Caenorhabditis elegans: one gene and its partner. The protein of the gene in region 1 purifies or fractionates together with the protein of each later gene. This does not show direct contact. Each region holds a gene or a part of one and is shown on either strand. Other genes may lie near its edges.

The links.
Region 2: the proteins of mab-20 (region 1) and lad-2 purify together in Caenorhabditis elegans (affinity purification with western blotting, with the first as the bait; one study listed by BioGRID). This does not show direct contact.

The regions. Positions count from the first base shown.
Region 1 is NC_003279.8:1,645,418-1,652,994, reverse strand, and holds the start of mab-20 (Semaphorin-2A), read left to right. Parts: upstream 1-1,537; 5' UTR 1,538-1,739; coding exon 1,740-1,812; intron 1,813-3,210; coding exon 3,211-3,633; exon of another isoform or gene 3,634-4,520; coding exon 4,521-4,892; intron 4,893-5,759; coding exon 5,760-5,878; intron 5,879-5,947; coding exon 5,948-6,037; intron 6,038-6,725; coding exon 6,726-7,470; intron 7,471-7,577. Other genes in the region: Y71G12B.18 (Methyltransferase FkbM domain-containing protein), read right to left, coding at 1-79.
Region 2 is NC_003282.8:2,975,456-2,980,491, reverse strand, and holds the start of lad-2 (Neuroglian), read left to right. Parts: upstream 1-2,007; 5' UTR 2,008-2,093; coding exon 2,094-2,160; intron 2,161-2,205; coding exon 2,206-2,320; intron 2,321-3,044; coding exon 3,045-3,161; intron 3,162-3,207; coding exon 3,208-3,278; intron 3,279-4,061; coding exon 4,062-4,182; intron 4,183-5,036.

The DNA.
Region 1 (7,577 bases):
CGTATAAAAGAACAATGCCAAGAAAAATGAGAAAAATAATTAGAAGCAAATTAATCGGTCTACTGGCACGAGATTTCATTTCGAAAAAAATATCGGAATATTTTGATTCCACCTGCCCTTTTATTGGTGCCGTTCCGGATTGTTTCGTAGAATACTTTTTCAGATTTAATCGCGATTTTGTCCAGTTTTCCATGCCGAATTTCGATGGTTCGACAAGATTAGTGGACGACAAAAAGAAACGTTTTGTTCTCAAAATTGCTTTTGGTCGGCGACAAATGTTTCGGGAAAATTCTAGTTTTTTTTGGAGGAATTTGTAAATTTATCAGGAGAATTTTTAAATTTACCAGGAGAATTTTAAAATTTACCAGGAGAATTTTTAAATTTACCAGGAGAATTTTTAAATTTACCAGGAGAATTTTTAAATTTACCAGGAGAATTTTTAAATTTACCAGGAGAATTTTAAAATTTACCAGGAGAATTTTTAAATTTACCAGGAGAATTTTAAAATTTACCAGGAGAATTTTTTAATTTACCAGGAGAATTTTTAAATTTACCAGGAGAATTTTTAAATTTACCAGGAGACTTTTTAAATTTACCAGGAGAATTTTTAAATTTACCAGGAGAATTTTTAAATTTACCAGGAGAATTTTTAAATTTACCAGGAGAATTTTTAAATTTACCAGGAGAATTTTTAACCGGTTTTTAAAATTTTCGGCAATTGCCGGAATTGCCAAGATTGCCGGAATTTGCGATTGCCGGGCATTTTCGGCAATTTTGAAACCTAGTCATATTGTGGAAATTGAAAAAATTTCACCTTGTCTCTTAGTATTCATTTAGTCATTTTCTGAAAGAAAACGTTCAATCCTTAAAGGATCAAATTATGTTGAGCTTGAAAATAAAACATTTTTCATCAAAATGCATGTTTAGGCTCCTAAATCTACAAAAAAGTATCAAATTTATATTTCCGACAATTCTGATTTCCGGCAATCGGCAATTACGGCAGTTGCCGGTTTCAAAAAATTCGATAATTGCCGAAATTGCCGAAAATCGATTGCTGGTAGGCAATTGCCGCGCACCCTTGTTCTTCAGTAGAGTACAGTACTATATTACAGAACTGCCACTACAGTACCCTTACAGTACTCCGACACTTTTTCCCTAACCAGGTACGGACCGTCACTGCAAAGTTTTAAGCGTTTTATTTGCAGTTTTTGATGTATTTATGTGTAGAGTTTTTTGGAAAATTTTGAGAATTTTTTAAATTTTAGTTTTACAATTTTTAGATGTTCGGTAATAATATTCCTTATTGAAAAAATATTAATCATTTCTAATTCAACATATGGAATTCTGGTTTTGATACATGTTAATTAGCGTTCTTCAAGTGGCTCTCCTTCTCCTGTAATCCACCGAACATTGTGGACGTCAACACACACACACACACACACACACACAAAAGACGAAACGACCCAACAAATACAATTACGATGTCTTCTCCGTCTACTCTCTCATTCTTTAGGACTAAAGAGGCACAGCTGCCAGTAACAGGGACCCCTCCTTTGTGTCTGCGTCTCTCCCTCTCTCTCTCTTTGGGGTGGCCTTCGTCTTCTCCCCCATCCTGCACACACACACACACACCCTGACACCACAACGGTTTCATGCAAATTCTATATAATATTTATTGATTTTCTATCCTTATTAATTTCAAGTTAAAGAGTTTAACTCTGAAATAAAAATCTTTGAAAATGAGGAATTTTCTGGTATTTAGCGTAATTTTTATTGCGTACAACAGCTGTGAAGCAGCGAATATTCAAGCAGGTGAGTATTTTTCAAATTGATTACCTATATAAAAATTTGAGGTTAAATCCAAGAAATTATAGATTTTAGCCAAATTTCCACGAATTGAATGAATTTGCCCAAGCTTGGACCCGAAACGACAATTTTTGTAAAATGCAAAAGGGCATGCGTCTTTAAAGAGTAATGTAGTTTTCAGCTAGGATTTGCTATTGAAAAACTAAAAGAAAAACTATTTTTTAAAAAATCAATAAAATTAAACGTCTCGATATTACAGTCATCTTCAAAGACGCACACCATTTTGCATTTTACAACAATTTATCGCTTCGAGACCAAAAATAAATTTTTTTTTTTTTGGTTTTAAGTCTCTCCTCTAATTCGGCATTTTTGCGCTTGCATTTATTGTTATAACATAAGTTAATCTATTTTTTAAAGCAACTTCATAAAGTTGCTTGAAAAAATTGATAAAATTATTTCGACCGTAAATTTGTATGGTTTTTCGTGACGAGACCCAAGATTTTTAAGGGTTTTTTGGCAATTTTCAGTGAAGTTTTGTGAATTTTTTTTGTGTATTTGAACGTTTTTAGTATGAAAACTATGAAAAAAAAACAAATTTTTAAAAAAATTTTCTGAATTTCCATCCGTTACATATTGAGTTTAATAGCATATTTTCATGGAAATTTTTATAGATTTTTCACAGTTTTTATTTCAATTTGCTATTGTTTCCGGTGAAAAATGCATCTTTTTCAAAGATCAAACTTCGCAACAACAAAAGTTTTGCAAGTACAGTAATCTTCAAAGGCGCACACATTTTTTCATCTAACAAAAATCTAGACCGGGACGACCGTATTTTTTGACCCGAGCGCTTTGCAAAATTTCGCATTTGCACGGATTTCTAGATTTAAAAAAAGGATTAAAGGACGATCACGTTTTTCAAGTGCTATGCACTGCGGATCTGGGATTCAGGTACCTGCCTGGTGGTGATCCCTCATTAATTGAAATGGAAGAGTTTTTGCCGAACTAGGCCATTTTGGCTCGTCCATATTTGGGGTAGATTTACGGCGCGTTGCGTGTCGCGTCGCGGCTCGCCTTTAGTTGTAAAAATAAATGTATTTGTCCGTCGGTAGATTGTCAATGGAGCGCGATAAATGCAATGAGGAAGGCCAGAACCCCGAGATTTGGGTGTTAAAAAAAATTTTCTTTCCAAAAATTCAAATTTTCGTGGGTTCAACAAATCAAGGATCATAAGTCAAAAACTGAGCGAAAAAATTATGCTTTTCGAGATGATAAGGTCCCATTCATTACAAATTGTATAAAATTGTGTATGCAAATATGCTCTAAAGATAATTTTTTTTGTTTACCTAGGTATTAGTGTCATCAATCCAATATATATGTATTTACCTAAATTCTTAATTTTTGCAGACAACACATTTGCCGACCCGAACATTGGAGAATTCCGTGAACTACTAATCGACCCAAAAGCCGGTGCTCTTTTTGTGGGCTCCGAGGGAGCCATTTTCCGTCTTTGGGCTTATAATATCAACGATACGGGGGAGAATGTGTTCGCCAAAAAACAACTGGTGCTCAGCGAGTCCGAAGAATCCGAGTGTCGTTCGACGGCCAGTGACGAGCGATTGTGCCGCCCGTCGACTCGATTTTTGGCGTTTACGAATAACCTCGACTCGATTTATGTTTGCTCGTCGGTTGGCATGAGGCCGGAGATTCGTGTGCTCGACTCACTTTCGTTGCGAGACCAACAGGAGCCGCGGACCGAGATTGGGATTTGTGTTGTGGATCCGACGTTTAATTTTACGGCGGTTGTGGTTGATAGTGGGAATCCGGAGGGTAAGCAAGTGCGCTCTATTGATAAATGAAATTCATTGATAATTTGGCTGCAATTTTTCAAAATTGTTTTGAAACTTTTCTAGTTTTGAATGAGTTTGCTTAAAAAAATGACCAAAAATACCCAATTATTTTACAAAAACTATCAAAAAACATCCTTGAATTTTGCAAAAATTTTTGTTGCACAGAAAGTGGGGCGGAGCGTAGCTTTCGCAACACTGCCGCACGGGTTTGCCTCCGCCCCTTCTCCACTGCTTTTCTTGTTGATTTTTTCAATAATGTTTCGATTTGACTATTATTTTTCTCTTTTTTCGAAACAAAAAACTTTTGAGGCAAACCCCGTGCGGCAGTGTTGCGAAGTTACGCTCCGCCCCACTTTGTGTGCGACAGAAAAAATTTTGCAAAATTCAAGGATCGATTAATAAGTTTTGATAGTAGATTTTATCACCAATCCCCACGTGGTGTCAGGCTGCTTCATTTCAGTTTGATCTACAAAAAATGCGGTAATATTTTTCCATAAAAACTGTGACGTCAGCACGTTCTTAACCATGCAAAATCAGTTGAGTACTCTGCGTCTCAACTCCCGCATTTTTCGAAGATCAAATCAAAGTAAGACATTCTGACACCACGTGAAATTGTGAAAAAAATATTTGTTTTAGTCTAGAATTTGGATACATTATCTATTTTCTGCAAACTTTGTGAATGATAATTCTAAATTACACTTTTTACTGTGATTTAGAATTATCGATATTTGAAAAAAATTTTGCAAAAAATTTTTTATTTTATTCTCATAAATTTTGCATCAAAACATTTTCCAAAAAATAAAGTGCAAATTCCAAAAGTAATTTTTGCAATAATGTTTGCCAAATTGTTGCAGTTTTCATTTGCAGATGCCACATCCGTATACTCTGGAATCCGTACAGGAATGGGCGGTGAGAATCATCTGATCTACCGTCCACCGCTCACCAAAAACGGCAAACAACTGCACGCCAGTATTCGAACAATCTATTCGGACAACAAATGGCTCAATGAGCCGCAATTCGTCGGCTCATTTGATGTCGGACAGCATGTGTTCTTCTTTTTCCGTGAAATTGCACATGATAACTCGTTCGGCGAGCGAATCGTTCATAGTCGTGTGGCAAGAGTTTGTAAAAAGGATATTGGCGGGAGAAATGTATTGCGACAAGTTTGGACGTCATTTGTCAAGGCTCGACTTAATTGTTCGGTTTCTGCAAATTTCCCGTTTTATTTCGATCATATTCGTAAGTTAGGCCACCGAGTGGAGCATCGTGGCCGAGAAAAAGAGAAATTGAAAAAAAATCAATTTTATTCATTTTCTGTTTGAAGTCTTGAAACCCTTCAATTCGTGATATTATACTAATTTTTCACGGATTTCTGGCTACCCTCATAAATTGAAATGGAAGAGTTTGCCAAAGTAGGCCATTTTGGCTCGGCCATATCTGGGGTAGATTTACGGTGCGTTGCGTGCCGCGTCGCGGCTCGATTTCAGTTGTAAAACTAAATGTATTTGTCCGTGTGGAGTACACGACTTTCTCACGAGTTGTCCGGCAGGCGAGAGCGCGAAAAATTCAATGAGCAAGGCCAGAGCCTCGTGATTTTAAAACAAATGTTCGCCAGTTTTCGCAGTATTCACGTGGTGTCAGGTTGTCCCATAACGGTTTGATCTACAAAAAATGCGGTAATATTTTTCCAAAAAAACTGTGACGTCAGCACGTTCTTAAACATGCGAAATCAGTTGAGAAGTCTGCGTTTAAATTCCCGCATTTTTTGTAGATCACAACAAAATGGGACATTCTGACACCAGTATTGAAAAATATGGCGACCGAGTGTAGCATCGTGGTCGCACGGGGTTATGGTCTTTCTCATTGAATTTTTCGCGCTCCATTGGCGATCGCCCGCCGGACAACGCGTGGGAAAGTCGTGTACTCCACACGGGCAAATGCATTTAGTTTTACAACTAAAATCGAGCCGCTACGCGACACGCCACGCGCCGTAAATCTACCCCAGGTATGGTCGAGCCGATAAATTTAAGGAAAAAAAATCATGAAGTTCTCAAATTTAAGACCGTCTCAATAGAGCGCATCTACACTGTCTATTTTTTTTTTCAGAATCCGTAAAACGCGTCGACAAACACGGAGAAACCTACTTCTACGCCACGTTTTCCACATCGGAAACCGCATTTACTTCTTCTGCGATATGCATGTTCCAACTCTCTTCAATCAATCATGTAAGTGGTGGCCGTGGCCGCCAAACAAATCAAATTAACTCGGCCACCTATTGAACTTTGTGTTTTCAGCTCCTCGACACCGGCCTCCTAATGGAAGAGACTGCGAACGGGCAGTTTTCGGTGACCGCCGACGAGATTCCGGCTCATCGCCCGGGAACGGTAGGTGGAAAATGTGCTCTATTGCAAAATAAATTTTACAAAAAAAAATCTAGTTCAAAAATGAAATTTTGCGTCAGAAGTGGGCGGAGCCGTAGTTTTAGAATTTTTGAAAAATTTGAAAGCCCGCCTACGCTCGGTGTCTTCTAAAAATCGGTTTTAACTCGGCGGGGCTTATTTCAAAAAAAAATTTCTTTAATTTTTTGCAATTTTTTTCAAACAATTTTGATGCGGAGCACGTGGTGTCAGGCTGTCCCAATATAGCTTTATCTACAAAAAATGCGGGAATTTTTCCCAGAAAAATTGTGACGTCAACACGCTCCTCCATTCGAAATCAGCTGAGAACTCTGCGTCTCTTCTCCCGCATTTTTTGTAGATCAAAGCGAAATGGGACTTTCTGACTCCACGTGGCCGAGCATATTAACAAGGAAAACATGCGTTGGTCCGAAAATATTGATACCAGGGGGCGGAGCTTATTTAATGATTTTTTAAAGGAACATCTTGGAAGCCCCACCCATTTCTGACATAAAACCCCTTTTAATCGATTTTTCAGGATGTTAAAATCAATTTTGATTGAAAAATACCTATTTTCCGTTGGTGAAATTCATTTTTAGATATAAAAATTGTGTAATATAAGCCCCGCCCATTTCTGACGCGTTAACCACTTAATCATCGATTTTCTCTCTTTCAGTGCTCACAAAACTCGCACAGCATTTCGGATACGGATCTTCACTTTGCAAAAACGCATCTCCTGGTTTCCGATTCCATATCCGGCGGAACCCCGATTCTGCCACTCCGTGACCACGTTTTCACGCATATTGTCGTAGATCAACTTCCCAACCAGAATGTGATTTTTGCATTTGATAGTGCAAATCGACGAGTTTGGAAAATTTCGCATTGGAAAGAAGGAAACGAGTGGAAATCGAATTTAATCGAAGAAAAATCGCTAAAAATTGCGGCCTCCCGGATTAATGACGTGGCACTTTTGCCTGCCGAATTCTTCTTTGTCACGTCTGGAGCCGGTGTCTCCCAATTCTCAGTTGCTCGATGCTCGGAGCAACCATCCTGTGCTCTCTGCTCCCTTGATCCCTACTGCAGCTGGAATGCGGTCAACTCGAAATGCTCGCTGAAAACAAAGACAAATGAGAAATCAGTCGGCTGGATTTCGAGCTCATGGGCTGGAAGAATATCACCAGAGTGCTCCGCTGTCGAGAAGCTTACCGTTAAGGATGTCTACTTGGGCGACGGGCTCCGTTTGGTTGGAGCCAAGAATGGGGTGTGGCAGAAGGATGGGCGGAGTGTTGAGAGTGGGCAACGGCACGTGGTGACTCGGAATGGGGAATTGGTGGTGTTGGATGCGCAGTTGGAGGATGCTGGAACCTATGAATGTTTGAGAGATAATATTATTCTTGTTAGAGCAAGAATTGTTGTTCATGGTAATGAGTTTTAACAAAAAATTCAACTGAAAAAATCACGAAAAACTGTACTTTTTTGCGGCCATGAAATTAATTGTAGAAAAACTGCAGAAAAATGACAGAAAACA
Region 2 (5,036 bases), on another chromosome or scaffold:
AAAATTTTTGAGTTTTTGGGGTGTGAAAATTTTCTGGAAGCTTCGTGAGAAACCTATAAAAATTGACACATTTTTTCTCAATTCTCGATAAATTAAAAAAATTCTCGAAACAAAAAAATGTCCTTCATCTACTTTTTCACATTTTCAAGAGCATTAAAATTTTGCAACTCTGGAAAAATCCACTGTTTCAGTAATTTTACAAGCTTCTTGCCATATATGTGGTGTTAGAGCGTCCGATTTCGGTTTGATCTACGTAGATCTACAAAAATTGCGGGAGAAGAGACACAGGGTTATCAACTGATTTCGCTGACGTCACAATTTTTGCGCAAAAATTCCCGCATTTTTTGTAGATCAAACCGTAATGGGACAGTCTGGCCCACCATGCGTATATTTTTATCCGAAATTTTATCTCTCCAAAAATAAAAGCAATCTTTTTTTCTAAAATTTCCAAAATCCCAAAAACTCGCCACTTGAAAATAGTTTCATTGTCCATCATCAACATCAGTTCCCTCTCTCCTCAAAACTAGAATAGCAGATGATAGTCTGCCTCATCTTTTTCCATGCCATCTCCAGTCATCGTCTTCCTGTAGGGCCCCCCTCCTGTGTCTCTGCGTCTCTTCGTCTCCCCTACTCTCTCACTTCCTGATTGGCTCGATTGTCCATGACGCCGAGGATAAGACAAGATTTTTTCTTGTGCAATTTCTGTGACTTCTGGGACCAAAAAAATATCGGAGCCACTGCAGGCGATGTTTTTCTGTTTACTTTGTACTTTTTGTTTTGATTTTTCTGAAAAAATTACCGAAAATACTTTATTTTTTATTATTCCGAAACGACGTTTTTCCGATCGAGAGCAGTTTTTTTTGTAGATTTTTGATTATTTTGAAAAGGTTTTTGGGATCGGAAATTTTTTAGTCAAGCTTAAAATTTTTTTTAAGTGTTGGTGTAGATTTACGGGGTCTAAAAGTGTGAAAAAAAATTCAGAAAATAAAAGTTCCAAAAAAATTCAAAACTATCACCCAGACACAAAATTTAGCGATTTTCCCTTCAAAACTACAGTACCTCGGGTCTCGAAGCGACAATTTTTGATATTTTTTTTATTACATGCAAGAAGGTGTGCGCCTTTACAAAGTACTGTAGTTTCAATTTTTCTTTTCGAGTTTTCATGCATAGTTTTTCACATGATTTTTTATTTTCTATAATATTTAAGTTTTTAAATGAATAAACATATTTTTGCTTGAGAAACTATAAAAATTGGCAAATTTCGAAACTACATCGTTTCGAGACCAGGGACTGTATTTTTAGAGCGAAAATTCTGGAAATTTTCAACTGGAAATTTTCTCTTTTTCTTAATTTAGGAGGACCCTAAAAAAAGAGTATTCTTAAAATTTCAAAAAATAAAAAATATATCCCTCATTTCGGCTTGATCTACGTTGATCTACAAAAAATGCGGGAGAAGAGACGCAGAGTTCTCAAGAACTTGCTGACGTCACATTTTCAGGGCAAAAAACTCCCGCATTTTTTGTAGATCAAACCGTAATGGGACAGCCTGGCACCACGTGCCCTAGATTAATCAAAGATTTTAAGAAAAATCCGCTCCAGGAGCATTTCTAAAGACTACTTAAATACGTGGTGTCAGGCTGTCTCATTACAGCTTAATCTACAAAAAATGCGGGAATATTTTTCCAGAAAAGTTGTGACGTCAGCACAGCAGTGCAAAATCAGATGAGATGTCTGCGTCTCAGCTCCCGCATTTTTCGAAGATCAAAACGAAATGGGACTTTCTGACTCCACGTGCTTACAGAGTGTTCACCATTTTCTCCAATATTCGATCACCCTCATGCACCATGCCATTCCCCCCTCTTCACCCCCCGTTTCCCAAATACCAGACGGGCTCCAATTTCTGTCAATGATTTGCATCTCATTGACATTCGCCCCGCGGACACTCCATAATCATACCCCCGCCCCGTGACTCCGCCTCCTTTTTCGTTATTTGATTAATTTCGAACATTTTAGACTGCCTGCCTATAATGCATCATATCCTGAGACGTCGGTAGATTTTTGGTAGCAGACTTTTTTTTTGGATTTTTCCAACAATGCGTTTAGTTATTGCACAGTTTCTTCTAATAACTCAGGTATTTGCTGCACAAAAAAATAGTATTGGTAAGAGTTTTGTAACTTTAAAATGTCTGAAACTGTGAACTCCAGGTCCCCCGAAGCTTCTAGAACAATCAGGCGAAGAGGTGTGGTATCATTTAGATGATGAGGATCTCCTCAAAAACAGGTTGACACTTCGTTGCGAGGCAGATGAGAATACTGACAGGTGGGTGGAAATTTGGGATTGACAGGTGCTGCGTAAAACATGCAAGCCTACCTAGGCACCTACTAGGTGCCTACCTGCCTACGTGCCTTGTACCTCTGTGCCTAGCAGGTGTCTAGTAGGCACCACCAACCTCGTGTTTACTTGCCTACGCCTCTAGTGAACAATACATTTTTATGCCTGCTTGCCTACTGGCATAGTAGGTACTACAAATTCCAGCTCTGCCTACTGCCTATTTTTTTTTAACTTTTTCGGTTTTTTTAGTTGAGTTTTTGGTTTGGTTGAAGGTACTTCGCACTATGCAGCTTATGTCTGGGCGCCTGTATATTGTAGGCCCTGCCTATAGGTATACATTTTTAAAATAGCGTGCCTACGTGCCTTCATGTCTGAAACTGAGAAATCTTGTTTTTTTTGTTGAGAATTTGATGAAAATTTTTGAGAGAATTCGAGAGCATTTTTTAAAATAGCTGTGAAAAGTTTGCGAAAAACCGTCGCCTGCCAGGCGCCTACCGAAAGACATGAGGCAGGTGTAGGCCTCCCATGTGGTAGGCAGGTAGACATTTATGCCTATATAAATAAACTATTTCTGCAATAAAAGTATGTGTTTTTTGGTTGTAGGCACAAGACAGGCAAAGGTCACCTCGAAGGTAGGCAGGCACGTAGGTAGCTATTTAGGGCAGGTAATTAGGTAGGTATGTAGGCAGGCATTTATCAACTCTATTTCCAGATACTCCTGGCTCAAAGACGGTGAGCCATTCGTCATTGATTCCGAAGATGTTCTTTGGGAAAAAGAAAGTCAATCTGGATCAATTGTTTTTACAAAACCTCATGCTAGTCATCAAGGGTGAGAAATTCAGATTTTTGGAAAAAAAAACCAAAAAATATTGCAGATATTATCAATGTTTCGCATCGAATATATTTGGAACAGCACTTTCGAACAAAATGCATTTGAGGCTTGGATGTTAGTTTTTAGATGATTTTTAGAATTTTAAAATACTGGTGGGAAAGTCGAATTTTATTTTTTGAACAATTTTGTGAAAAAATTATTTTGGCGCATAAAAAAATAGGAATAAAAAACGTTAATTTTTCCAGAACACATTGGATTATTTTCAGCATGGAAAATGCCCTGAGAATGTTAAAATTTGAATATTAAAAAAAATTCTGCGGGAAGTTAAAATTCAATTTTTTAGTTTCTAACGAAATTTGGTGTGGAATTTTAACTCAATTTTTGCCAGAAATTTTGGTGGGAAATTCAAATTTAAAACTTTTCAAAATTTGGAAAAATTAAAATTCAGTTTTGAAGCCATTTTTTCAACAACTTCCAGTATCAATCAATAAATAATAAGAATTATGCTAATAATAATAATAATGTGTTTGTTTTGAATTTGGCTCAATGAGCACTCGAGTGCTCTTTTTGCCCCCTTTTAGCTCGCCAAGGTGCTAATTAGTGAATGGGGACGGATTTAATCAAGACCACCCACCACCACATGTTGATTATTATAAAAAGGGAAGGGGAGAAAAAAGAAAAAAGAAAATGATATGTTTTATCGAATGTGGTGTCAGAGCGTTTCATTTCGGCTTGATCTACGTTGATCTACAAAAAATGCGGGAGAAGAGACGCAGGGTTATCAACTGATTTCGCTGACGTCACAATTTTTGGACTAAAAATTTCCGCGTTTTTTAGATCAAACCGTAATGGGACAGCCTGACACCACGTGTTATCGAGAAAATTAATTATTTCCAGCACTGGAACACTTTCCAAAACGGGATGTTAAACTATTGAGAGTGAAGGAAGGAGAGTCGCTGACGTTGAATTGCACACCGCCACGTGGCACACCTGATCCGAAAATTGTCTGGCTTTATAGGTAAGGGAATAGGCAAAATTTCTTAAAAACACAGAATTGAAGTTTTCCAAAATTTTAACAAAAACAAAAAATTTGGGAGATTCGTAAAATTGCACGTTTTTTTGTGTAAAAAAAAATACGTCGAAACTTCCGGCAAATCGGCAAATTGCCGAAATTAAATTTCTGGCAAATCGGCGAATTGCCAGAATTGAAAGTTCCGGGAAATCGGTGAATTGTGGGAATTGCAATTCCCGGAAAATTGGCAAATTGTCGGAATTGAAATTTCCGGCAAATCGGCATATTGCCGGAATTGAAATTTTCGGCAAATTGGCAAATTGTCGGAAATCAAATTTCCGGCAAATCGGCAAATTGCCGGAATTGAAATTTTCGGCAAATCGGCAAATTGTCGGAATTGAAATTTCCGGTAAATCGGCAAATTGTCGGAAATCAAATTTCCGGCAAATCAGCCAACTGCTGGAATTGAAATTTCCTGCAAATCGACAAATCGTCGGAATTGAAATTTCCGGAAAATTGGCGAACTGTCGGAATTGAAATTGTCGGCAAATCGGCAAATTGCCGGAAACGAAAATTTCCGGCAAATCGGCAAATTGCCAGAATTGAAATTTCTGGAAAATCGGTAAATTAATGGAGTTGAAATTTTCGGCAAATTGTCGGAATTGAAATTTCCGGCAAACCGGTAAACCGGCAATTTGCCAATATTGAAATTTCCGGCAAATCGGCAAATTGTCGGAATTGAAGTTTCCGGCAAATCGGCAAACTATCGGAATTGAAATTTCCAGCAAATCGGCAAATTGCCGGAAACGAAAATTTCCGGCAAATCGGCAAATTGCCAGAATTGAAATTTCCGGCAAACC